Pelodiscus sinensis: one gene and its partner. The protein of the gene in region 1 interacts with the protein of each later gene in a pairwise test. Links are inferred from orthologs where the notes say so. Each region holds a gene or a part of one and is shown on either strand. Other genes may lie near its edges. The genes, in order: MORN4 and RANBP3.

What was found.
Region 2: the proteins of MORN4 (region 1) and RANBP3 interact in a two-hybrid assay, tested with the Homo sapiens proteins (2 studies listed by BioGRID). The two-hybrid records come from large-scale screens. The link is inferred for Pelodiscus sinensis from reciprocal best matches to the Homo sapiens genes MORN4 and RANBP3.

What each region holds. Positions count from the first base shown.
Region 1 is NW_027465990.1:7,439-18,942, forward strand, and holds the start of MORN4 (MORN repeat-containing protein 4), read left to right. Parts: upstream 1-6,365; 5' UTR 6,366-6,496; intron 6,497-11,262; 5' UTR 11,263-11,293; coding exon 11,294-11,360; intron 11,361-11,504. Other genes in the region: PI4K2A (phosphatidylinositol 4-kinase type 2-alpha), read right to left, coding at 1-107, 863-1,063, 4,900-5,241. UniProt on the Homo sapiens protein: Plays a role in promoting axonal degeneration following neuronal injury by toxic insult or trauma.
Region 2 is NC_134729.1:21,070,313-21,081,991, reverse strand, and holds the start of RANBP3 (ran-binding protein 3), read left to right. Parts: upstream 1-7,049; 5' UTR 7,050-7,350; coding exon 7,351-7,372; intron 7,373-11,679. UniProt on the Homo sapiens protein: Acts as a cofactor for XPO1/CRM1-mediated nuclear export, perhaps as export complex scaffolding protein. Bound to XPO1/CRM1, stabilizes the XPO1/CRM1-cargo interaction. In the absence of Ran-bound GTP prevents binding of XPO1/CRM1 to the nuclear pore complex.

The DNA of each region.
Region 1 (11,504 bases):
AACCGTTGCCCGACCTTGGGCACCTTCTCCAGGGCCAGCCTCTTCCCTCGGGACTTCACCCGGTCAATGGCGCTGTAGTTGAAGGTCTCGCTGGCCAGGTACACCACCTGGGGGAGCGCACAGGCTGAGAGCAGCTGGCCCCGGCAGGGTGAGACCTGGGGCCCTAGGGGAGCACGTGCCTCCAAATTCCACAGGAGGAAGGGGCCAGAGCCTCAGGGACTAGTGGGGGTGTGGCGGGGGGCTGTCTGCTCTGTAACCCGGTGTCCCCACCCGGCTGCGCTGTCTGATCCCCACCGACTCACCCACGTGGATGGGCCCAGACACCCAGTCCCAGCCTGGGCGGGTAACAAGGCTCTTCCCGGGGGGAGACGGAGACGGACACCTGGCTGGGGGCAGGGCTGGGAGCTGGGCAGTCGAAGTCCAGTACAGGGGGCTCAGGGGCCTGTGACCCCCCAGGGAACCAGGGCTGTCGGCCGGGCCTAGGCCCATGTCGGGCCTGCGCTGCGCTGCCTCGGAGAAGCAATAAACCCAAGTTTACTCTACGGGCTGGCGGAGTCACATCCGGCTGCGGCCGGGGGTGCAGGGTGGAGGCTCCCCGACGCGCCGTCACAGGGGGCAACTGCAGCAGGTCGGGGACCCCCAGCTCAGCCCCCCCCCCCCCACTTCCTGCCATGGAGCACGGAGAGCACAACCCCGTGACAGCCAAGAGCCGGGAGATCGGAGACCTGGGGCCGCGTCCCCAGACACGGGGGTCCCTGGCTCGCCTCGGTGGGGGAAGGGCAGAGTTGTCCTGGCCCCGCCCCCTGGAGAGGGGGCGGTCACATGGCATGGGGGCGGGGCAGAGCAGCCGCCAGCCACTCACCTTGGTGCGGGGGACAATGTTGAGCTCCAGCTTCTGGTCCACCAGGCTGGCGCCGGCCTCGGAGAGGTAGCCCTGGTTGAGCACCAGGCAGTCCCTGCCGAAGCAGCACGGGCAGCAAAGCTTCTGCAGCCACTTGGTCCACTTGGGGTTCAGCTGCCCGTAGGGCTCCTCGTTCTTGGGCTTGAACACGCCGATGATCCTCTGCGGACGGGGGCAGTTGGCGGGGGCTGGGCCAGGCAGCCCCTCCTAGCCCCCGCCAGCCCGCCCAGAGCCGCCGCCAGCCCGCCCAGCCCCTCCTAGCCCCCGCCAGCCCCTCCTAGCACCCGCCAGCCCGCCCAGCGCCGCCGCCAGCCCGCCCAGCCCCTCCTAGCACCCGCCAGCCCGCCCAGCACCGCCGCCAGCCCGCCCAGCCCCTCCTAGCACCCGCCAGCCCGCCCAGCCCCTCCTAACACCCGCCAGCCCGCCCAGCGCCGCCGCCAGCCCGCCCAGCCCCTCCTAGCCCCCGCCAGCCCGCCCAGCGCCGCCGCCAGCCCGCCCAGCCCCTCCTAGCACCCGCCAGCCCGCCCAGCCCCTCCTAGCACCCGCCAGCCCGCCCAGCGCCGCCGCCAGCCCGCCCAGCCCCTCCTAGCCCCCGCCAGCCCGCCCAGCGCCGCCGCCAGCCCGCCCAGCCCCTCCTAGCCCCCGCCAGCCAGCCCAACGCCGCCGCCAGCCCGCCCAGCCCCTCCTAGCCCCCGCCAGCCAGCCCAACGCCGCCACCAGCCCGCCCAGCCCCTCCTAGCCCCCACCAGCCAGCCCAACGCCGCCGCCAGCCCGCCCAGGCCCTCCTAGCCCCCGCCAGCCAGCCCAACGCCGCCGCCAGCCCGCCCAGCCCCTCCTAGCCCCCGCCAGCCAGCCCAACGCCGCCACCAGCCCGCCCAGCCCCTCCTAGCCCCCACCAGCCAGCCCAACGCCGCCGCCAGCCCGCCCAGCTCCTCCTAGCCCCCACCAGCCCGCCCAGAGCCGCCGCCAGCCCGCCCAGCTCCTCCTAGCCCCCGCCAGCCCGCCCAGCTCCTCCTAGCCCCCGCCAGCCCGCCCAGCGCCGCCGCCAGCCCGCCCAGCTCCTCCTAGCCCCCGCCAGCCCGCCCAGCGCCGCCGCCAGCCCGCCCAGCCCCTCCTAGCCCCCGCCAGCCCGCCCAGTGCCGCCGCCAGCCCGCCCAGCCCCTCCTAGCCCCCGCCAGCCTGCCCAGCCCCTCCTAGCCCCCGCCAGCCCGCCCAGCGCCGCCGCCAGCCCGCCCAGCCCCTCCTAGCCCCCGCCAGCCCGCCCAGAGCCGCCGCCAGCCCGCCCAGCCCCTCCTAGCCCCCGCCAGCCCGCCCAGAGCCATCGCCAGCCCGCCCAGCCCCTCCTAGCCCCCGCCAGCCCGCCCAGAGCTGTCGCCAGCCCGCCCAGCCCCTCCTAGCACCCGCCAGCCCGCCCAGAGCCGTCGCCAGCCCAGCCCCTCCTAGCCCCCGCCAGCCCGCCCAGAGCCATCGCCAGCCCAGCCCCTCCTAGCCCCCGCCAGCCCCTCCCTCCCGCCCGCCATCTCCTGGCCTGGTACACGCAGACCCAGACTCGGGTACCAGGGAGTTTGAGCCTCCCCCAGCTGATCCACAGCTCAGCCAGCCCCGCCGCGCCTGGGCAGCAGCTCTGGGAGGGGAGGGCTGCCCAGCGGCAGGATGAGCCAGAGCCCACCAGCACCCAGTAGAGGAGCCCACATGCGTGGAACCCAGCGTTCACCCAGGAGACTCAGGCGCCGACCAGCTGCTGAGCAGAGCGCCCCCAGCCGGCAGCCTGTGTTACTGCTGGTGGTGCACGGCCACACGCGCCTCGGTGCACAGAACAAAATGTATCCCGCTCAGATGCAAAACATTGGAGGGAACAATCCCAGCCCCCTGCTCTGAGGGCAGTCGAATGCCCCACTTCTCCTGCCGGCTGCTGCCCACAACGGCAGCCCCCCTGGGGCCCCAGCAGCCCAGGGAGGTCCCACCTGTCCCAGGGACCTTGTTCGCCAAGTGCGTGGGGAGCCAGGAAAGCAGCAAGGAGGACAGATTCCCCCAGCGGGCAAAGGGGGCTAAAGAACCAGGACCCACCGGCCCCACACCGCACACGTCTCACAGCTACTCGGCCCGGGGGCAGTGGCCTCTGCCGTCTCCTGCACCACATCCCAGCCCACCGCCCCCAGAGGCGGAGGCTAAGGGAGCTCCCTGGGCGGAGGTGGGCAGGCTACCATGCCAAGAGAAACCCCATCCCTGGCCCCTACCCCTTCCACCCACAGCTCCCTTCTGCCGAGAACCAGGTTGGCCGGACGTCGCCTGCTGGTTCTGCTGCCTCCCCTCCGCCAGGGGCAGGGCCACCCACGCACCAGGACCCTGCTGGTGCCAGACCCAGTAGCCAGAATCCCAGCTGGCCCGTGCTGGGGTGGACCCAGCACTACCAGAGCCAGCCCCTGAGCAGCAGCGAGGCTAATCGGGTTAGCAGGGAGTCACAAGGCAGGCACACGGCCCGCGCCCAGCGCCGTGGAGAATGCAGCTCCACAAGGACCCGCCTGGCTCTGCTCACCCCGTGGCCCGGCGCAGGCAGGGGGCGGGGTGTCCAGCAGGGCCGGGGGAGGGGGGCAGCAGCTGGACTAGGGATGTAAGCGAACCATCAGCCAGCGGGTAACCCGAGGGACGACGCAGCGACTCGCATTGCACCCCCCTTGCTGAACCGGATCAGAGGCAGCGGGGGGGGGGCAGGCTTAAAACCTGGTTCCTCCCAGCACCATCTCCATGGGGCCACCTGCTCCCCCCCCACGCTGCTGCCTCTATCAACCCCTGTCTGCGGGGAGGGGGTCACAGCTCCCCACCGGGACCCCCACGGACAGGGGCTGCTGGAGCTGGCGTGAGCCAGGACCACCCCCCGCTGTGCCTCTGCAGCAGCTGGAACCCGGCCCGAGCGCCCTCCCTTCCCACTACTCGTGTAGCTGATAACGGTTCTATGAAGAAGCGATTAGGGAGATACCCGCTCCCATCCCTAGCTGGGACGCAGGCCCAGGCCAACGGGCGCGTGGGGACCAGGCAAGGACCATGCGCTTGCAGAGCCTGGGAGCCAGGCAGAGCTGAGCCGAGTCACTGCCCCCCCGACTCTAGCAAACCCCACACTCCCAGCACAGACCCCAGCTGTGTGCAGCGCCAGACGCCCATCCACTGGCACCTCCGCTAGGCCTGTCCGCGGGCGACAGCACCGCCCAGTCACACCTGGGTAGGCTGCACCCGCCGCTCGGGCTCTAGGGGTGTAAAATCCTGTTCAATCCATCGGCTAACCCTTCCGGTGAGCCCGGGCACTGCATGGATGGGGCAGCGCACCGGGCTGCTCCGTCCCAACCAGGGTAATGGCAACACCCTCCAGCCACTGCCTGCTACAGGGCTGAACTGTGGCCAGTCCAGCAGGTCTTGGCAGGCCAGCTGCTGGCCTCGGGGGCTCCCCAGAGCAGTCCAGGCACCGACCTGCAGCCGGCACCTTACGCAAGGACGCCCATCTCCTGCACTCACAGCCTTCCCAGGGAGACGGGACCTGCCGCCCTGTGCACAGCCAACACCCCGGACGCCCATAGCTCTGACACATGCCAGCGGGAGGCTCACCCCAGCCAGAGCCCCTCTCCCCGGGCACCCCACCCGCAGCCCTGGCCTGCACCAGGCCCAGAGCCGGGGAAGCAGCTTACCAGCACACTCAGGGTGCCACTCGCTCCCAGACGGGGCCGGGGGTCAGCCAGGCACGGCCCCCGGGCAGCCCCGGGCCCGCAGCCCCCCCCCCCCCGGGCAGCCCCGGGCCCGCAGCCCCCCCCCCCCCCCGGGCAGCCCCGGGCCCGCAGCCCCCCCCCTCCCGGGCCCGCAGCCCCCCCCCCCCCCGGGCAGCCCCGGGCCCGCAGCCCCCCCCCTCCCGGGCCCGCAGCCCCCCCCCCCGGGCAGCCCCGGGCCCGCAGCCCCCCCCCCCCGGGCAGCCCCGGGCCCGCAGCTCCCCCCCCCCCCGGGGCGCCGCTCACCCCCTGCGGGTCCTTGACGAAGTAGCTGCCGCTGGAGCCCTGGGAGATGCGCTCGGGGAAGATGCCGCGCTCGCTCGCCGCCTCCGCCAGCCGCACCACCTCGGCGAACTCGGGGTCCTCGGGGAAGTCGTTGCGCTCGCGCTGGGCCTGCGCCGCCGCCTGCGCCGCCCCCGCGCCCCGGCCCGCGCCCCGCTCCAGCAGCGGCTGCCGCTCGCGGTCCCGGGCGCGCGGGGAGCCGGGCGGGGAGGGGGCGGCGCGCACCGCAGCGCCCGGGCCCGCGGGCAGCCCGTAGGCGGCGGCCGGGGCCCGCTGCGGGGACACCAGCGGGCTGCTCTCGTCCATGGCCGCCCGGCTCTGCGGCCCGTCAGCTGACCGCCCGGCCCCGCCCCGCCACCGGGCCGGCACTCGGCGCACTGGCTCCGCCCCCGCCTTCCGCCCCGCCCCCGAGAGCGCTGGCCCCGCCCCCTTCCGCCCCGAGCGCTCTGGCCACGCCCCCGCCTTCCGCCCCGAGCGCGCTGGCCCCGCCCCCGCCTTCCGCCCCGAGCGCTGGCCCCGCCCCCGCCTTCCGCCCCGAGCGCTGGCCCCGCCCCTTCCGCCCCGAGCGCTCTGGCCCCGCCCCCGCCTTCCGCCCCGACCGCGCTGGCCCCGCCCCCGCCTTCCGCTCCGCCCCCGAGCGCGCTGGCCCCGCCCCCCTTCCGCCCCGAGCGCTGGCCCCGCCCCCGCCTTCCGCCTCGAGCGCGCTGGCCCCGCCCCCGCCTTCCGCCCCGAGCGCTGGCCCCGCCCCCGCCTTCCGCCCCGAGCGCTCTGGCCACGCCCCCACCCGCCCCCTACCCGGCCCCGCCCAATGAGTGACCTGGCCACGCCCCTCCCCGACAAGAGCTCTGGTCTCACCCTTCCTTTAGCTCCTCCCGCTCATCGCTCTAGCCACGCCCCTCCAAGAATTACTCACAGTGCTAACCACACCCACTGCTGAGTGCTCTAGCCACGCCCCCAGAACCAGTCAGAGCACTAAGGGGGGGAGCTTGCCACAGATCTTCCTGTAACTCCTCCCCCTGCCCGCTTTGGCCACGCCCCCACACCAGTCGCGAGGCCCACTATGCCGGCGCGTCAGAGCTCTGGCTGGGGGCGGGCTGTGAGCAGGCGCCTGGGCGGGGCTGAGGGCAGTCCGGGGTGGGCCAATAGGTGGCAGCAGCGGGGACACGTCACAGGCGCGAGACGGAGGGGAGGATGGGGCGGTGCGCAAAGAGCTACGACAGCAGTGCGGCCGCTGCCCCGCACAAACATGGCCGCCCCGGAATAACGCGGAGCGCCCCGCAAAAACATGGCGGTCGGGGGCGGTCTCTGCCGCGCCCAGCGATGACGCTTCCTGGGTAGAAGCTTTGTCCCGCATAAAGAGAGCAGCCGGTGACAGGCCCTGCGACACTGGCCAATGGGAAGCCGTGTTGCTACGGGTTGTCATGGTAACAGCCAATGACACGTGGGGATGCAGTCTGGTGTCGCTGCCCAGCTGGGCGGGGCGGGGAAGGGGCAGCCGGGCCCTCAGCGCGCCGGCGGCTGTCCATGGAGACGGGGCCCCCGCGGGGGAGCGCGAGTCCCGGTGAGGGGCCCGGTGTATGGGGCGGGGGGCTCGGGGGTGGGGGGCCCAGGGAGGTGGAGGGGGGTGGGGTACAGGAGTGGGGGGCCCAGGGGCGTGGAGGGGGGTGGGGTACAGGTGTGGGGGGCCCAGGGGGTGGAGGGGGGTGGGGTACAGGAGTGGGGGGCCCAGGGGGTGGAGGGGGGTGGGGTACAGGTGTGGGGGGCCCAGGGGGTGGAGGGGGGTGGGGTACAGGAGTGGGGGGGTCAGGGAGGTGGAGGAGGGGTGGGGTATAGGAGTGGGGGTGGAGGAGGGGTGGGGTACAGGAGTGGGGGGGTCAGGGGAGGAAAGGTGGGGTACAGGAGTGGGAGGTCAGGGGGGTGGAGGAGGGGTGGGGTACAGGAGTGGGGGTGGAGGAGGGGTGGGGTACAGGAGTGGGGGGGTCAGGGGGGTGGAGGAGGGGTGGGGTACAGGAGTGGGGGGGTCAGGGGGTGGGGTACAGGAGTGGGGGTCAGGGGGGTGGAGGAGGGGTGTGGTACTGGAGTGGGGGGTCAGGGGAGGAAAGGTGGGGTACAGGAGTGGGGAGTCGGGGGGTGGAGGAGGGTTGGGGTACAGGAGTGGGGGGGTCAGGGAGGTGGAGGAGGGGTGGGGTATAGGAGTGGGGGTGGAGGAGGGGTGGGGTACAGGAGTGGGGGGGTCAGCGGAGGAAAGGTGGGGTACAGGAGTGGGAGGTCGGGGGGTGGAGGAGGGGTGGGGTACAGGAGTGGGGGTGGAGGAGGGGTGGGGTACAGGAGTGGGGGGGTCAGGGGGGTGGAGGAGGGGTGGGGTACAGGAGTGGGGGGGTCAGGGGGTGGGGTACAGGAGTGGGGGTCAGGGGGGTGGAGGAGGGGTGTGGTACTGGAGTGGGGGGTCAGGGGAGGAAAGGTGGGGTACAGGAGTGGGGAGTCGGGGGGTGGAGGAGGGTTGGGGTACTGGAGTGTGAGGTGCAGGGGGTAATTTATGTGGGGTTCACCTGAGTGACCCTTTCCCAGATGCTCATGGGGTGCATTAATTTGCTCCTCTCTGGACTGTCCCGGCAGGGGCATCTTGGGGTTGGTTCCCATGGCGGTGGCTGCTGCTACCTAGCTCCACTCAGTGCTGGAGTCACTGGCTGCTGTGGGGCAGGTTCTGAGGGGGAGCAGGGGCTGCTTGGTCTGCATTGCTGGCCGAGTTCTTGTGCCACTGTCCCTCTTGTGTACCACAGCAGGGAGTGTCTCTGAGGTCAGTTGTAGCAGGTGGAGGGAGTGGGTTGCCCTGGAAGGACTGGTGCGCCCATTAGACCAGGGCTGGAGAACTTTTTTGGGGTTGGGGGCCACTGACCCACAGAAAAATCAGGGGCTGCACACAGGTGAGAAACAAAAACAAAACCCACAAGACTTCACTGACATGGCCTCTGCCTGAGGAGAAAGACCAGACACTCCCCACGTGCCCCTCATACACCAGAGCCTAGGGGGGTGGAGGCTAGTAGATTTAATGTGCTCCAGCGCCGTGGGGGGGGGGGAATGGAGGAAGAGCTGGAGAGCCACCGTGGGCTCCCCAATAGTTGGATGGGGAGCCCTGAGCCTCAGGGGCCACATCTGGCCCCTGGGCCTTAGATTTCCCACCCCGGCATTAGACAGTGGCTGCCACACACACAATGAAAGCTACATGCCACAGAGCAGCTTTTTGACCTGCCATCACACCCCGCGAGCAAGAGCCATGCCCGGCCTGTAAAGGCCCCAGGGAAAGCTGGGGCTGCAGCGCAGCACTTGATGGAATTGCTGCTAGAGAGGCAGGCCCCTCCCTGTGGGAAGCAGGACAATCCGGGCAGCTCAGGTTCTCTCCTCCATGACTTCCTCTCCCCCAGCTTTGGACCACGATGCTGCTGGGTCCGTCCTGCCATGAAGGCAGGGGACTGGACTTGGATTCTCTGAACTTGTGTGATACCTACCACTTGGGTTCTCCGCATGTCCCCACGTTGAACCCATCCTAGGGACTCTCAGGGCCTAGGCTCTCAAGCACGACAGGGGGGCTCTGCCTGCTCCCCCTGCCCAGTCCACGAGCCCCCTCCTCCCAACCGAGCCTCCAGTATCCCTCTCCCGCAGCTTCTCCCCTGGCCTTTGTCTGCTGGCCAGATAACCAGGGTCACCTGGACCCCTCTTCTCCCCTCTCCTGTTTCCCCTGGCTGGGACCAGCGGGGCAGGTCACAGGCTCCTCTCTCTGCAGCCACCCCCTCTGCAGGCAAACCCTTGGAAAACCCAGACAGTCCCCCACTTGGACGCTGGCACATTCCCTCTTCAGGAAGCCAAGTGGCCTTTTGACGTGCGCCATCAGGCCTGCAGGGGCAGCATGTTCGGGGCAGCATGGCTCGTGGGAGCCGCATGCCAGGCTGGCGCTGTGCTGCGCTGCAGCCCCAGCTTTCCCTGGGGCCTTTACAGGCCGAGCATGGCTCTTGCTCGCGGGCTCCAGGGCTGTGTTGGACTAGAGGGCTAGTGGCACTTCCTGTGTCCTGGAATTGTGGTTCGGTGAGACAGGCACGGGGGAGCCACTGCCGAGCTGGGTTGTCTAGGGGACAGTGTCAGGACCCACCCGATGCCTGCCCTTGCCCCTGCAGAGCACTTTGAGCTAGAGCTGGGAGGCGGCTTTGACCCTCAGCCTGGAGGGAGCAGAGCCCAGAGCTCTGGCTAAGCAGCGATCCTGGCCCTCCAAGTGTGGCCCTCTTGGGCTTGATGTGTGTCTATCTGTGGGCTGATGAGACCAAGGGCACAGGCATCAGTGACTCGACCAGCTGCAGGTGCCAGCGCCTGTGGGCCACCCAGCCTGGCCACTGCTACCTGAGGGGCTCCGGTGTGGGCCTCAAGCATTTCCCAGAGTCTGCTCTGATCCCAGAATGGCTCCGCCCAGGATGGGAGCCATAGTCTGTGCCCTCCTGCCCAAGGCCTGAGCAAGCCCTCCCCTCCTCCTGCAGGCAGTCTGGGCGGGAGCCCCAGCAGCAGCCTAAGATACCCCCTTGCTGAGAGAGGCTCAGGGACAGCCAGGGGGTGACTGGGCCCTGAGCCTGCCAGGAGCTAGTGAATCCAGGGAGTGCTCTCCCTCAGCCTGCCGCTGCCTCCAGCCATCTCCCACAACCAGGTCCAGAGGGTTAAGTGACCTGCCATAGCCCTGGCGTGGCCACGGTTAGCCCTGTCCCATGACGCACAGAGTCAAAGTGGCAAATGCAATCTGTGATGCAAGGGCTGAGCCCCCGCAGCCTCCCCCCCAGTGCCAGGCCCTGGCTGCTAACCCCGTGCTGCCCAGCTCCTAGTCAAGTGCACCTTTCCTGGCAGGTGTCTGCCCAGCTGTTAGTCTCCTCTCCAGCATCCGCCCCCCCCCCCCCCGGCCTTTGAGATACCCCCGGGTTAGCTGCCGACCTCTGAGCCGGTGAGATTCTCCCCAGGGGCGGGAGGAGTCTGGGGTAAGGCTGGAGAACTGATCCGCTGGTAGCTTGGCACGAGCCGGCTCCCAGGGGTGGGTTCTGTGGTCTGGAGCTTAACAGACAGCGGGCAGTCCTGTGGCATCTCAGGCTAGTGCAGGTAGCTCCGGCGCTATGGAAGGGGCTGCGAGTTCCCTCCCGTGCAGCTCAGGACTGTCTGGGGAAGGAGCCAAGCAGCAGTCTCCTGTTACTGGCTTTTAACAAGATTCAGCAGAAATAAGGTTGCCAGGTGTCCAGTTTTGAACCGGACAGTCCAGTATTTGAGCACAGGGCTCTCCCCCCCCCCACCCCGGTTCTCTGTCTGCTCAGGGCCTGGACAGGCTCAGGGCTCCCCCCACCCCCTCCCGGGTTTATTGTCTGCTCAGGGCCCAGATAGTCACAGGGATCAACCGTGCAACCTCCCCACCCCCCCCCCCCCCCCACACACACACACACAGCACCTCCAGCGGGTCACTCAGAAATCTGCACTTCTACCTCAGAGCGCCCCCTGCTGGGTGCTATCCCAGCCTCTGGCAGGTCATATTTCCCTTCAACCCCGTGTCCCTTCCCTTTCCCCCATACTGTCCTAGGTCAGTGCCCCTGCCCTCTGGGGTCCTCCCCTCCCAGGGAACCCCCAGTCTCCTGTACCCCCCTTGCCTTTGTGACCCACGGCCAAGCATCAGCTAGCCCCTGTCTCAGGGCAACCCATGGCCACTCAGCATTGGCTAGGGGGTGGGCCTGCTACCGTGCCCCTGCTCAGGCAGCCTCCAGCTCCTCTGGCAGCCAGGTCCCTCCTGCTCCCCAGCCAGACCAAGAGTCTCTGTTCCTCTGCCAGGAGCCCGTATTTATACAGGCCCAGCTGGGCCCTGATTGGCTGTCTCTGCTCTGAGCTTTAACCCTTAAAAGGCCAGTGCAGGGCAGATGCCCCATCAGCCCCCCTGCCGGGTTCCCTGTCTGCTCCGAGCCCAGGCAGTCCCAGGGCTCGTCCCCTCTGGCCTGGCTGCAGTATGGATGGGGTGGTGCAGTGTCACCCACCGGCAGGGGCTGTGCCGTGGGGCAGCCCTGCTGGCGGGGCCCTAGTGCCAGGCTCAGAGAGGCGCTGGGGTCAGCTCCAAAGGGATGGGGAAGTGGCGGCGGGTGCTAGGCCTTGGCATGGCGGGGGGAGCCGGAGATGGGGCGCTTTGGGACAGTGACACACAGAATGCAGCCTGGCTGGGGGCAGGCGCTGGAGCAGGGGGCTGGCCAGAGCTCGGCAGCCTCAGCCAGCCACGTGCGTTCTCAGCCCCAGCCTGCTGGGGGTCTCACCTGCCCTCCCTTGCAGGTGCTGTCTCACCCTCCCTGGAGCTGGCACCATGACCTTGACCAAGGGCTCCTTCAGCTACTCCAGCGGGGAGGAGTACTGCGGGGAGTGGAAGGAAGGTGAGCCGGTGCACAGGCAGGGACAGGCCCACAGGTGTAAGGTGCCCGGGGCTGGACTGTCCCACCCTACACTCGCAGGCCCCTGGTGCCAAGCCCTTAAAGAACCAGTAAGCCAGGCTCTCCCCAGAGAGCACCTCCCCTGTC
Region 2 (11,679 bases), on another chromosome or scaffold:
TGGCTAAGGTATGATATATATCTCTGAAAATCTTTTAGCACATGCCCATTAGAGCCTTGTTAGAGTTTGGCAACTAAATTCTCTGAAGATTCTATTTGCACTGAACATGATCCTGTCCAAGGCTACAGGGACCCAGAAACAGAGAGCAAGGAAGCTGTCTCCTCTGTGTCCTGAGTGTTCCTGCTGCTGGCACCTAGGCAATAAGGAGGAAGAAGAATAAAGCAGCCTAATTAGAATGTGGGGGGAAAGGAGCAAGATTTGGTGGGTGATTGGAACAAAGGGGCAGGGGTGAGGGAGAGTTGGACAATAAGCAAACGGGACAGCAGAGGAGACAGGCAGGGTTGGCCTTACCATGAGGTGAACTGAGGCGGACGCCTCAGGTGCCAAACTGGGGGGGACGAGACATCACTAGGACTGTCGCCAGAGGCATGTAGATTAGGCTACCCGACATAGTAAAATGAAGCGGCGATTTAAATAATCGCCGCTTCATTTAAATTTACATGGCTGCAGCGCTGAGCCGACAAACAGCTGATCAGCTGTTTGTCGGCTCAGCGCGATAGTCTGGATGCGCGGGTGTCGACATCAAAGGTATTTGTCAACCACCCAGGTAAACCTCATCCTTTGATGTCGACACCTGCGCGTCCAGACTATCGCGCTGAGCCGACAAACAGCTAATCAGCTGTTTGTCGGCTCAGCGCGGCAGCCATGTAAATTTAAATGAGGTGGCGATTATTTAAATCGCCGCTTCATTTTACTATGTCGGGTAGCCTAATCTACATGCCTCTGGCGACAGAGGCATGTAGTCTAGACGTACCCAGAATGTAGAAAATTGTGTCTGCTGCTGGTGCATATCTATTCTCTCTGCTCTAGTGCACAGCGATGGTGGAGTGCTGTGCTGGAGGAAGGAGGGCACAAGAGACATAACAGGCAGGCAGGAGAAAAGGTGGCATGAGGGCATCATTTGAGCTCCCTGCCTCAGGTGCCAAAATGGCTGGAAACAGGACCTAAGAAGAACAATTGGCAGTGGCCTGAAATTAACAGGGGACAAGAGTAGGCTAGATGGACCAAAGTTGGAAAGTGTCTGTTTGGAGGGGCTGGGTCAAAGGGTTTGTAACTATTAGAAAACACTCCCCTAAGAACCTGGAATATACACTGGGATTTCTAACTATCACCATTTCTTCACATTCAGCAAATATCTATGGGCATGTCTACACTAGGAAACTATTTAGAAATAATAAAAATTGATTTAATAACTCCTGAAATAACAGCATTGAATAGCGTGTCCCCATTATGGGGAAGCCTTGAAATTAGTCCGAGGCAGGCTCCATTAATGTGGACGTGCTATCTCAACTTAGAGCCCCAGGAAGCACTGGGGAGCAATTACTTCAACTTACTCTGGGGAATAGTTATTTCAAAATAGCAGCAGCAGGGCATCCACAATAACACTATTTCAAAATAACTATTTTGAAATTAGCATTATTCCCTGAAGAAAGCAGGAGTACAGATTTTGAAATAACCAGCCCATTATATCAAAATAATTATATTCTTTCAACATAAGCAGGGTTATTTTGAAATAACTCTCTAGTGTAGACCAGGGCTATGAAACTCACAGACAAAGTGTGTGCCTCATCTCTCTTTCTGTTCCATGTAGAGGATGACAAACTACTACTGCTATCAGTTACTCAAATGGCAGAGGAGTGCTGTGAATCTAAAAGTTCCAGCCCTGTTGATGTCAGTATGTTTTCAAATGATAGAATTTATGTGATTTCAGTTTGCTTTTTCAAAAACCAAAAAAATTACATTGCGTCACAAACTGCATTAAAAGAATGTTGAGGTTGCACCCGTCTTCTTCACCCCACAAATCTGATTCATTCTCTAAGTGCCATCCACCCTGAAAAAGGCAGGGGTCCTGTCAAAAATAGCAAGCATGTGATTGTATAACTATAGATTTCATCATGGTACATCATGGTTCATCCTGGTGCAAGGAGAACAAATTAAAATTTCATGGGCAGTCATAATTCTGGCATTTTCTAACTTTAAAGTGTTTGACTTTGTAACCAAAATAACTTTCTCTGAATGTAGGATTTTAATGTGATTTCCTATGTAGTTTAAAGGAGAAAAATCCTATTTTGTATATTAACCACTATACCCTGTACCATCAGCAGGATTTAAAATCTGAATGTTCAGCACAGGCAAATACCACTTGAGCTACAGGTAGGCAAATACCACTTGAGCTGCCAGATACTTTCACAAAAAAGTGGCCTTCTGTCTGAGAAAAACAGGCTGCAAATACTGCACTGTCCAGGCCAATACTGGACACCTGGCAACCCTAGCTACAGTGCCAACTACTTCAGCTGCTGTCAGATAAATGCTGTTTCCTAAAGGGGTGAGGTTGGGTGAGATGGACCATTTGTTCAGCATGGACTACTCTGGATCCATGTGCCAGGCCTGAAGCAAAGAAGCCTGGCATAAGGGATGTCAGGTCCCTTGAAACCCTCTGCTGGTGGCCTTGCAGACCTACCACATGCCATACCAGAAAAGGAGCAGTAAAGGCGAGTCTTCCAGGTCTGCTGAGAAAGGCTGCAGGGAACCAGCTAATCAAAGTGCAGCAGACTCAGTTAAAAAGTGATCAGATGATTGAGCTAGTCACTTTCTGTCTCGGACCAGAAGTATAAGGAAGGGTGCTCCTTGCTGATGCTCAGGGGAGAGCCAGGAGACGGGCTCTAGTGACACTGGCATTTCATGAGGAAGAAGAAAAGTTGAGAACGTCAGCCCTGAAGTGAGGGTGAAGAGGAAGAGGCTACATGGGATGTGGCCCAGGGAATAGCAACAAGAAGCAACTATTAAAGGAAGCAAGATGTGATTTCTACTTGTAGAGTCCCTGGGTTGGGAGTAGTGGGTGTGTCTGGATTCCCTCACAGGCGTGGTGAAGTGGCCTATGTCCTGAGGAGAAGATAAAGCTTGATTAGAGGCTCAAGTGAAAGTATTTAAGGGACACCAGAGAACAGCTAAAGGCTAAGATCTCCAGGGAGGAAGTCCTGAGTGTGCTGGTTTATAATGTGGTAGGGATAGATTTAAAGCCAGTCCAGAAGGGGCTAAGAACCTAACCCAGGGTAGAATAACAGTTCCAACAAGGGCATTATGATAGGCGTTGTTGAACCTTTGCTACTCTGGAAGGGAGTCATCCATTTTAGACTATGTGTGTCAGCCAAAGGAAAGAGCCCCTGAAGATTCACCTGATGAGGGCAACAACTGATAGAGCAGGGCTACTCAACTTTGGAAGCTCCAAGGGTCACAATGATACTCACAGAACATGCCGAAGGCCGCAACTTAAGTGTGGTTGCATATTTCGCATTGACAGGCATGAATACAAAGGTCAAGGCAAGATTGCACAAAACACAGGCCCCATTTAAGTCAGTTCTGCTGATATTAATAAAATGCAATATTTACCCGATTTCCATCCATATGACAGCTAGGGTTGCCAGATGGTTTAACCAAAAATACAGACCCCCGCTCTCCCCCAAAAAAACACCGGGAAAAAAATTCTGTTGAGAAAATAAAAGGACAGCAGTTATTAAAAAATAAAAATCAGCATGGCCCATTTAAGAAGAGGCTTTTTTGCCGGTGGCCATTTTGTTTTTCTGCCAGGCACAAGACAAGCCCCTGCAGAACCAGGTAAGTGGGGGAGCCTGGCAGAAGGGAGGCGGGGGGCTGGGCCCAATTGCTGAGTGAGTTGCCAGGTGTCCGGTATTTTCGCCTCCTGGCAGGGAAATGTTTTTTTAGGTGTTTGGTATTTTCTGAATTTTTTTACCGGACAGGAGGTGAAAATACCAGACTGTCTGGATCAATACCGGACACCTGGCAACTCTAATGACAGTATTTTAAATTCCTGGACTGTCATTGCTCATTAAACTACTAAAACACATATCAACAGAAGACCATTATATTGCCTACTTTCTTGTTTTGGCTCCCACCCGCGGGCCACATGTTAAATCCCCGCTTCATTAGCAATTGCAATACGTCTAATTTACATCCCTTTTCCGAAAAAGGGATGTAGTCTAGACGTAGCCACAGGCTGTGGGCCACATGAAGAGCCCTATAATAGAGGATACTTTGAGCACAGAAATAGTGAGGGTTCACATCCATCCAACAGGGGGTGCTCACAAGAGGTTAGTGTGCCCCATCAGAAAGCCCATTCTCCTTCTGTTCATCCTACCACTGCTCTGGGAGTACCCATGTATTCCCACTGTAGTGGCTCCTGTTGCTATTAGTCTAATAGTGGTGTGAGTCTGGCCTAGAATGTGTGCTTAGCTGCTATTTTGACAGGCTGACAAATTTCCCTGAGGAACAGGAGGGAAAGAAAATGGTGATTTCATTGTGTATCTCAGCAATACCTGATATTTGTTCTCCCTGCCAAATACCTGCTGCAAACAATGGAAGTGAAGAACAGATCACAAAAATTCTTCATAATGGAAAGTGTCAGCTTCCCCAACCCCTATAATACAGTAAACTTCCAATAATCTGGCACCTTTAGGACCCAAGGGGTGCCGGATTATCAAATATGCTGGACTATCAGAAGGGGGGGGGGGCATAAGGGGTCTGGGGCGGAGTGTGGGGGATGTGCCCCTCGGCGCTGCAGGACCAACCCAGCAGCACCCCAGCTGCTCTGCCCCAGGTGTCCCCAAGTCAGCCGCTGCTGAAACTGACCAGTGACTGACTCGAGGAAGCCCGGGGCAGAGCAGCTGGGGTACTGCCGGGTTGGTCCCGCAGCGCCGAGGGGTGGTGCTAGGGGACCAACCCGGCAGCACCCCAGCTGCTCTGCCCCCGGCGTCCCCAAGTCAGATGCTGCTGAAACTGACCAGCAGCTGACTCCGGGAAGCCTGGGGTAGAGCTGCTCTGCCTCCGGCTTCCTGGAGTCAGCCGCTGGTCAATTTCAGCAGCGGCTGAATCAGGGAAGCCGGGGGCAGAGCAGCTCCAATTGTCCGGCTGCCCTGAGCACTTCTGGGTTCCAGATGGTGCCAGACCATCAGGAGTGTGGGACCATTGGATGCTGGACCACTGGAGTTTTACTGTAGTTAAATTTTGTGTGAATTTAGAACCAAATAATCTTCCCAGCTCCTAACCTGATACCTCTGTTGTGGGATAGGGATGATCAGAGGACAAATGGGAGAGAAAGCCTCCTTTTCAGGCCACTGGTCTGACCAGTAGCTTTGTAGTTACTCATTCAAAGAGTTGGAACAGTCTCTATGGCTGTTGCTCACCCCTTTTATGGAGAAGACAAACTTCTGTCTAGTTCAAACCTTCCACTAGCTGTAACAGAAGCACTGTTTCAACAAGGACATCAAAGTTTGTACCAAGGATATTTAATTCCTTGAAACGTGACCTCCTGAAATCTCATCCCCGTACTGCTGAGTTCAGTGAACCTTGGGGGGGATAGATATTTGGCTATGTGTGTGTGTGTTCCCTCTGTGTGCCATCTCAGCTCTGTACAGACAATTGGAACATAGGCCAGGATTATTGTTAATGAAGCACAATAATAGCATTTGGCAGACTCTACGGCTGTGTCTACACTGGCATCCCTTTCCAGAAAAGGGATGCTAATGAGACACTTCGGAATTGCAAATCCGCGGGGTTTTTGCCGGAGAAAAGCGCCAGTGTAGACGCGATTTTCCGGAAAATAAGCCCTTTTCCGGGATATCCCTTATTCCTACTTTCAAGGAATTCAAGGACTGAGGCGGCGGAAAGGGGGCTGTGGAGGAGGGTGGCGGTGATGGACTGAGGCGGCGGGAAGGGGGCTGTGGAGGAGGGTGGCGGTGATGGACTGAGGCGGCGGGAAGGGGGCTGTGGAGGAGGGTGTCGGTGATGGACTGAGGCGGCGGGAAGGGGGCTGTGGAGGAGGGTGGCGGTGAAGGACTGAGGCGGCGGGAAGGGGGCTGTGGAGGAGGGTGGCGGTGAAGGGCTGAGGCGGCGGGAAGGGGGCTGTGGAGGAGGGTGGGGGTGAAGGACTGAGGGGGCGGGAAGGGGGCTGTGGAGGAGGGTGGGGGTGAAGGACTGAGGGGGCGGGAAGGGGGCTGTGGAGGAGGGTGGCGGTGAAGGGCTGAGGCGGCGGGAAGGGGGCTGTGGAGGAGGGTGGGGGTGAAGGACTGAGGGGGCGGGAAGGGGGCTGTGGAGGAGGGTGGGGGTGAAGGACTGAGGGGGCGGGAAGGGGGCTGTGGAGGAGGGTGGCGGTGAAGGGCTGAGGCGGCGGGAAGGGGGCTGTGGAGGAGGGTGGGGGTGAAGGACTGAGGGGGCGGGAAGGGGGCTGTGAAGGAGGGTGGGGGTGAAGGACTGAGGGGGCGGGAAGGGGGCTGTGGAGGAGGGTGTCGGTGATGGACTGAGGCGACGGGAAGGGGGCTGTGGAGCAGGGTGTCGGTGATGGACTGAGGCGGCGGGAAGGGGGCAGTTGAGGGGGGTGGCGGTGAAGGACTGAGGGGGCTGGAAGGGGGTAGTTGAGGAGGGTGGCGGTGATGGACTGAGGGGGTGGGAAGGGGGCTGTGGAGGAGGGTGGCGGTGATGGACTGAGGGGGTGGGAAGGGGGCTGTGGAGGAGGGTGGCGGTGAAGGACTGAGGGGGCTGGAAGGGGGCAGTTGAGGGGGGTGGCGGTGATGGACTGAGGCGGCGGGAAGGGGGCAGTTGAGGGGGGTGGCGGTGATGGACTGAGGTGGCGGGAAGGGGGCAGTTGAGGGGGGTGGCGGTGAAGGGCTGAGGCGGCGGGAAGGGGGCAGTTGAGGGGGGTGGCGGTGAAGGGCTGAGGCGGCGGGAAGGGGGCTGTGGAGGAGGGTGGCGGTGAAGGACTGAGGGGGGTGGGGGGTGGGAACGAGGCAGTAAGGGCTGACAGGTCTGGAGCCGGGTGCTCACACCCCTGAGCCACCGCCCCCAACCTCCCGACGCGGGGGGAAGGGACAATGCTTTGTTGTCACAGGTGGGTTTTATGAAATGTGGCGCGTGCAGTTGTGCGCATGCCCCGTGAGGCTCCTGCAGCGCTGACTCCGCTCCCCTCACCCAAGAGGCTCTGCTAGTCCTGCAACGGGCGGAGCGGGTGGGTTTGGCGCAGGCGCACTGTTTGTCTAACCGCGAGCGGCGGAACGAAGCCTTTGCTTTTAGCGCATGCGTACTAAACCCTGTGAGGCGGAAGGGAGTTAAAAAAAAAAAAAGAAACGTTCTTCGGAGCATGCGCAGTCTCTCCCGCTTGACGGCGGGAGAGCCCCTCCCTTGCGGGACACTGCGCGCATGCGCCGCCGCGCTGTGTCTGTTGTAAATCGGAGGCCGGCCGGCCGCGCGATGCACTGTGGGAGTGATTGAGGAAGTAAAATGGCGGATTTAGCGAACGAAGGTAGGGGGGGATGTGGCCGTTATCGCGGTTGTGCGGAGGCGGGGTTTGGGCCGCGGGCCGAAGCAGGCCTGGCATTCGCCTCAGGAAGAGCTCCACGGGCCCCGTAGGGGAGTTGCTCCTCCCTGCCGCCTGCCTCAGTGCCGGCCACCGCAGGGGAACGGACTGGACAAAGGGAGAGGCTGGGCCTAAGTGGGGCCGTCTTGTTTCCCCGCCCCCCAGTCCGGGGGGAGCCGACCGACACCCGCCCTGCAGCGAGCACCTTGGGGGGCATCGGCGTGAGCATGGGGGTGACGGAAGTGGGGCTGGGCGTGGGCCCGGGCCTGTCGGTGCAGGCTGTGCGGGCCAGGCGCTAAGAGAGAGGCGTGTGTTATTTATTACTGCCCAGCGTCAGGAGCAAAGCTACTCCTTTCCTGCTGCAGCCTTCAGCGTGGGACAGAACCGCATCCCTTTGTAAAAACAGGGAGGAGTCCTGTGACACCTTAAAGACTAACAGATTTATTTGGGTATAAGCACTTGTGGTCAAGGGCCCCCTTCCTCAAGCTGCATGTCTTTGCCCAGAAAAGCTTATGCCTGAGCAAACCGGTTCATCTTTAAATTATCACAGGGCTCCTTGTTTTTTGTGGATACAGACTAACACAGCTACTCCTCTGATTCCTGTCAAATCCTTTTCTAGTGAGCCTATCTAGCTTGGCAGGTACATACCCTGTGTGTGTTCCGAATGTGAACAGAGCATCCCTCTATGTTCCCATTAGTCACCTTATTTTGTTCATGGTGAAAAACTGTGAGGCAATGGTGGCAAAGGAAGAGACCTGTGGGAGCTGCCTCTTGTTTAATTATCACTTGAACCCCAAAATGTGAAAAGCAAGCTCAGTATTTCTCTTTCCTGTTTGGGGCTAGGTGCCTCCTTATATGTCACCCCTTTTTATGCAGTGTTCAGGTAGCATGTCCCTTCTTGGCATGCCTATTTAAGGGAGCTGTAAAATTCCCATTGTTAATGCTGTGTATTTATGTCTAGCAGTTGGCTAAGAATATGCCTTGCAAGATTAGAGAAAATTTAGGTATCTTTTGTATAGCCATAATTTTGTGAGGGCAGGGAAATTGGTTTTATTAATTCTTCCTTGGGAGCTTTAAGAGAGAATGGCATACCATGTAGAGGTCCTAGGCTTTATCTACACTGGCACTTACCCAAATGACACAAGTTTTCCAATAAATGTGGAAAACCTTGCCCCCTAACACCCAAACAAAAATGTGGAAAACCTTGCCTTCCACCACCCAAACAAAAAACAATTAATTGATGAAAAGTGTCTGCTTGCATAGTGCTTTGTTCAGTGGGACCTTTGCTTGTTGGAGGTGGTTTTACTTTGTCACTGGAAAACATCTCTCCCAGCAGTAAAGAGTGGCCACTCAGTGCACCTTATAACTATGCAGATTCAGCACTGCTATAAGGTGTGTTGTGTAGACATAGTTTTAATGTGTATCTCCCAAGTGGAAGATAGACAGAAAACTTTCATAACATGAAAGAGTTGGGGCTCTTGTACATTTGAAAAGCAGAATCGCAGCAGAAGCAGCGCTAGTAGAGAATGCTTCAGTCCCTGCTTGCACCATTGCCAGTGTGCTTTTATCTCCCCTGTCCCCCTCAGAGATGGTGCTGGGGGAAACTGGCTTTCACGCTGGCTTCCCCCCAACATCATCTCCTGCTTCCCCCCCTTGCTGCCTGCCTCTGATAGAGGCTGCAACAAAGTCATTCTCTTATCCTGTCACATTCTCCTTGCATCCTTTCATTGGCTTCCTCTTCTCTGTTGCCTCAAACAAAATTTACTTATGTTTACCTTCAAGGCCCTTCATGGTGTGTTCCCACCACACCAGTCATCTCACATTGACTGACATGTAGATTTACACTTTTGATTAGCCATGATGCCAGCCTCCATCACACACTCATTAAAAGATTAAAATAAGACCTTTGTGCCTTCTTCCATACTTTTCCTCATGCTCAGAGGAACTCCTTGTAAATATGCGCTAAGTTATCCCATTAATCTCATTCAGAATTCTCTTTGAGATTCTCCTTTCAGTGTACAAAACTTTTGACATCTTTTAGGCCGCTGAGAGGCCTGAGGCAACTGCCTATCGTGTCCAATTTTGCCTTGCAGTTTCCTTGCACCCCTCTGTCTATATCTATTTTGGCTTATCTTATACTTAGGTTGTAAGTTCTTTAGGGGTAGGGTCTGTTGTTTTGTTTTGTATTTATTCAGTGCCTAATATAATGGGGTTTTCTTCCATGACTATTGCTTCTAGGTACTACCATAATGTCTCTTTTTTGAGATAACTGGATTAGTCCTCATCAACACTTATTTTCATGAATTCTCCTCTAACAAACTTTCCAGATTGATTTGTATGAAGATGCTTGTGATAGGAAGCAGTATAGCTTTCCATGGTACTTTATAACTACGTCCCTTTATTTTAAATTTAAATTGAGTTTTACTAAACTCTCCTGCATTTTATAAAAACTATTAATTTTTTCCAATTTTCACCCTGCTTTTGTATTCTTGGAAATAAATTGCATGAATATATCTATTATGATAATATGCAGGGCTTGACAAATCTGTGTATCTACTCGCCCATGGCGAGTAGATTACAGTGGTCGCCCCGTTCACTGGTGGTGCGCGCATGTGCAGTGCAGGTCTGGCGCATGTGCGGGGCTGGTGAGTGGATTTTGCTGTGGTTTGTCGAGCCCTGATAATACGTTAGTTATAACTACTCGAGAGAGATCTTGGAGTCATTGTGCATAGTTCTCTGAAAACTTCCACTCAATGTGCAGTGGCAGTCAAAAAAGCAAACACAATGTTAAGAATAATTAAAAAAGGAATAAAGAATGAGCCAGATAATATCTTATTGCCTCTGTATAAAACCATGGTACGCCCACATCTTGAATACTGTGTACAGATGTGGTTGCCTCATCTCAAAAAGGATATATTGGCATTGGAAAATGTTCAGAAAAAGGCAACAGAAATGATTAGGGGTTTGGAACGGGTCACATGAAGAGAGAGAGGATGGCAAATAGGATGTTAGGAATTATTAAGGAAGGGATAGAAAATAAGACACAGAATATCTTACTGCCCCTGTATAAAACTATGGTACGCCCACATCTTGAATACTGTGTACAGATGTAGTCATCTCATCTCAAAAAAGATATTTTGGCCTTAGAAAGGGTTCAAAAAATGGCAACTAAAATGATTAGGGGTTGGAACGGGTCCCATATGAAGAAAGGTTAAAGAGACTGGGACTTTTCAGTTTAGAAAAGAGGCGACTAAGGGGGGATATGATAGAGGTATATCAAATCATGAGTGGTGTGGAGAGGGTGAATAAAGAAAAGTTATAAGTTCCCATAATAGAAGAACTAGAGGACACCAAATGAAATTAATGGGTAGCAGGTTTAAAACTAATAAAAGAAAGTTCTTCTTCACACAGCGTGTAGTCAATCTGTGGAACTCCTTGCCAGAGGAGGCTATGAAGGCTAGGACTATAATAGAGTTTAAAGAGAAGCTAGATAATTTCATGGAGGTTAGATCCATAAAAGGCTATTAGCCAGGGGATAGAAATGGTGTTCCTGGCCTCTGTTTGTCAGAGGCTGGAGAAGGATGGCAGGAGACAAATCGCTTGATCATTGTCTTTGGTCCGCCCCCTCTGGGGCACCTGGTGCTGGCCACTGTCAGCAGACAGGCTACTGGGCTAGATGGACCTTTGGTCTGACCCAGTACGGCCATTCTTATGAGATTAAAGAGACTGGGACTTCTCAGCTTAGAAAAGAGGAGACTAAGCGGGTGGGGGAGATATGATAGAGGTCTATAAAATCATGACTGTTGTGCACAAAAGTGAATAAGGAAAAATTATTTGTTCCCATAATAGAAGAACTAGAGGTTACCAAATGAAATTAATAGGTAGCAGGTTTAAAACAAACAAAAGAAAGTTTTTCTTCATGCAGCATGTGATGAACCTGTGGAACTCCTTGCCAGAGGATGTTGTGAAGACCAGGAATTTAACAGGGTTCTAAAAAGACCTAGATGAATTAATGGAAGTTAGGTCTTTAAATGGCTATTGGCTAGGATGGGTAGCAATGGTGTCCCTAGCCTCTGTTTGTCAAAGACTGGAAATGGATGACAGGAGAGGGACCACATGATGATTCTCTGTTCACTCCCTCTGGGGCATCTGGCATTGGCCACTGATGGCAGACAGGGTACGGGGCTAGATGGATCTTTGGTCTGACCTTGTATGGCCATTCTTATGTATGTCTGTATGTAAATGCAAAGCTA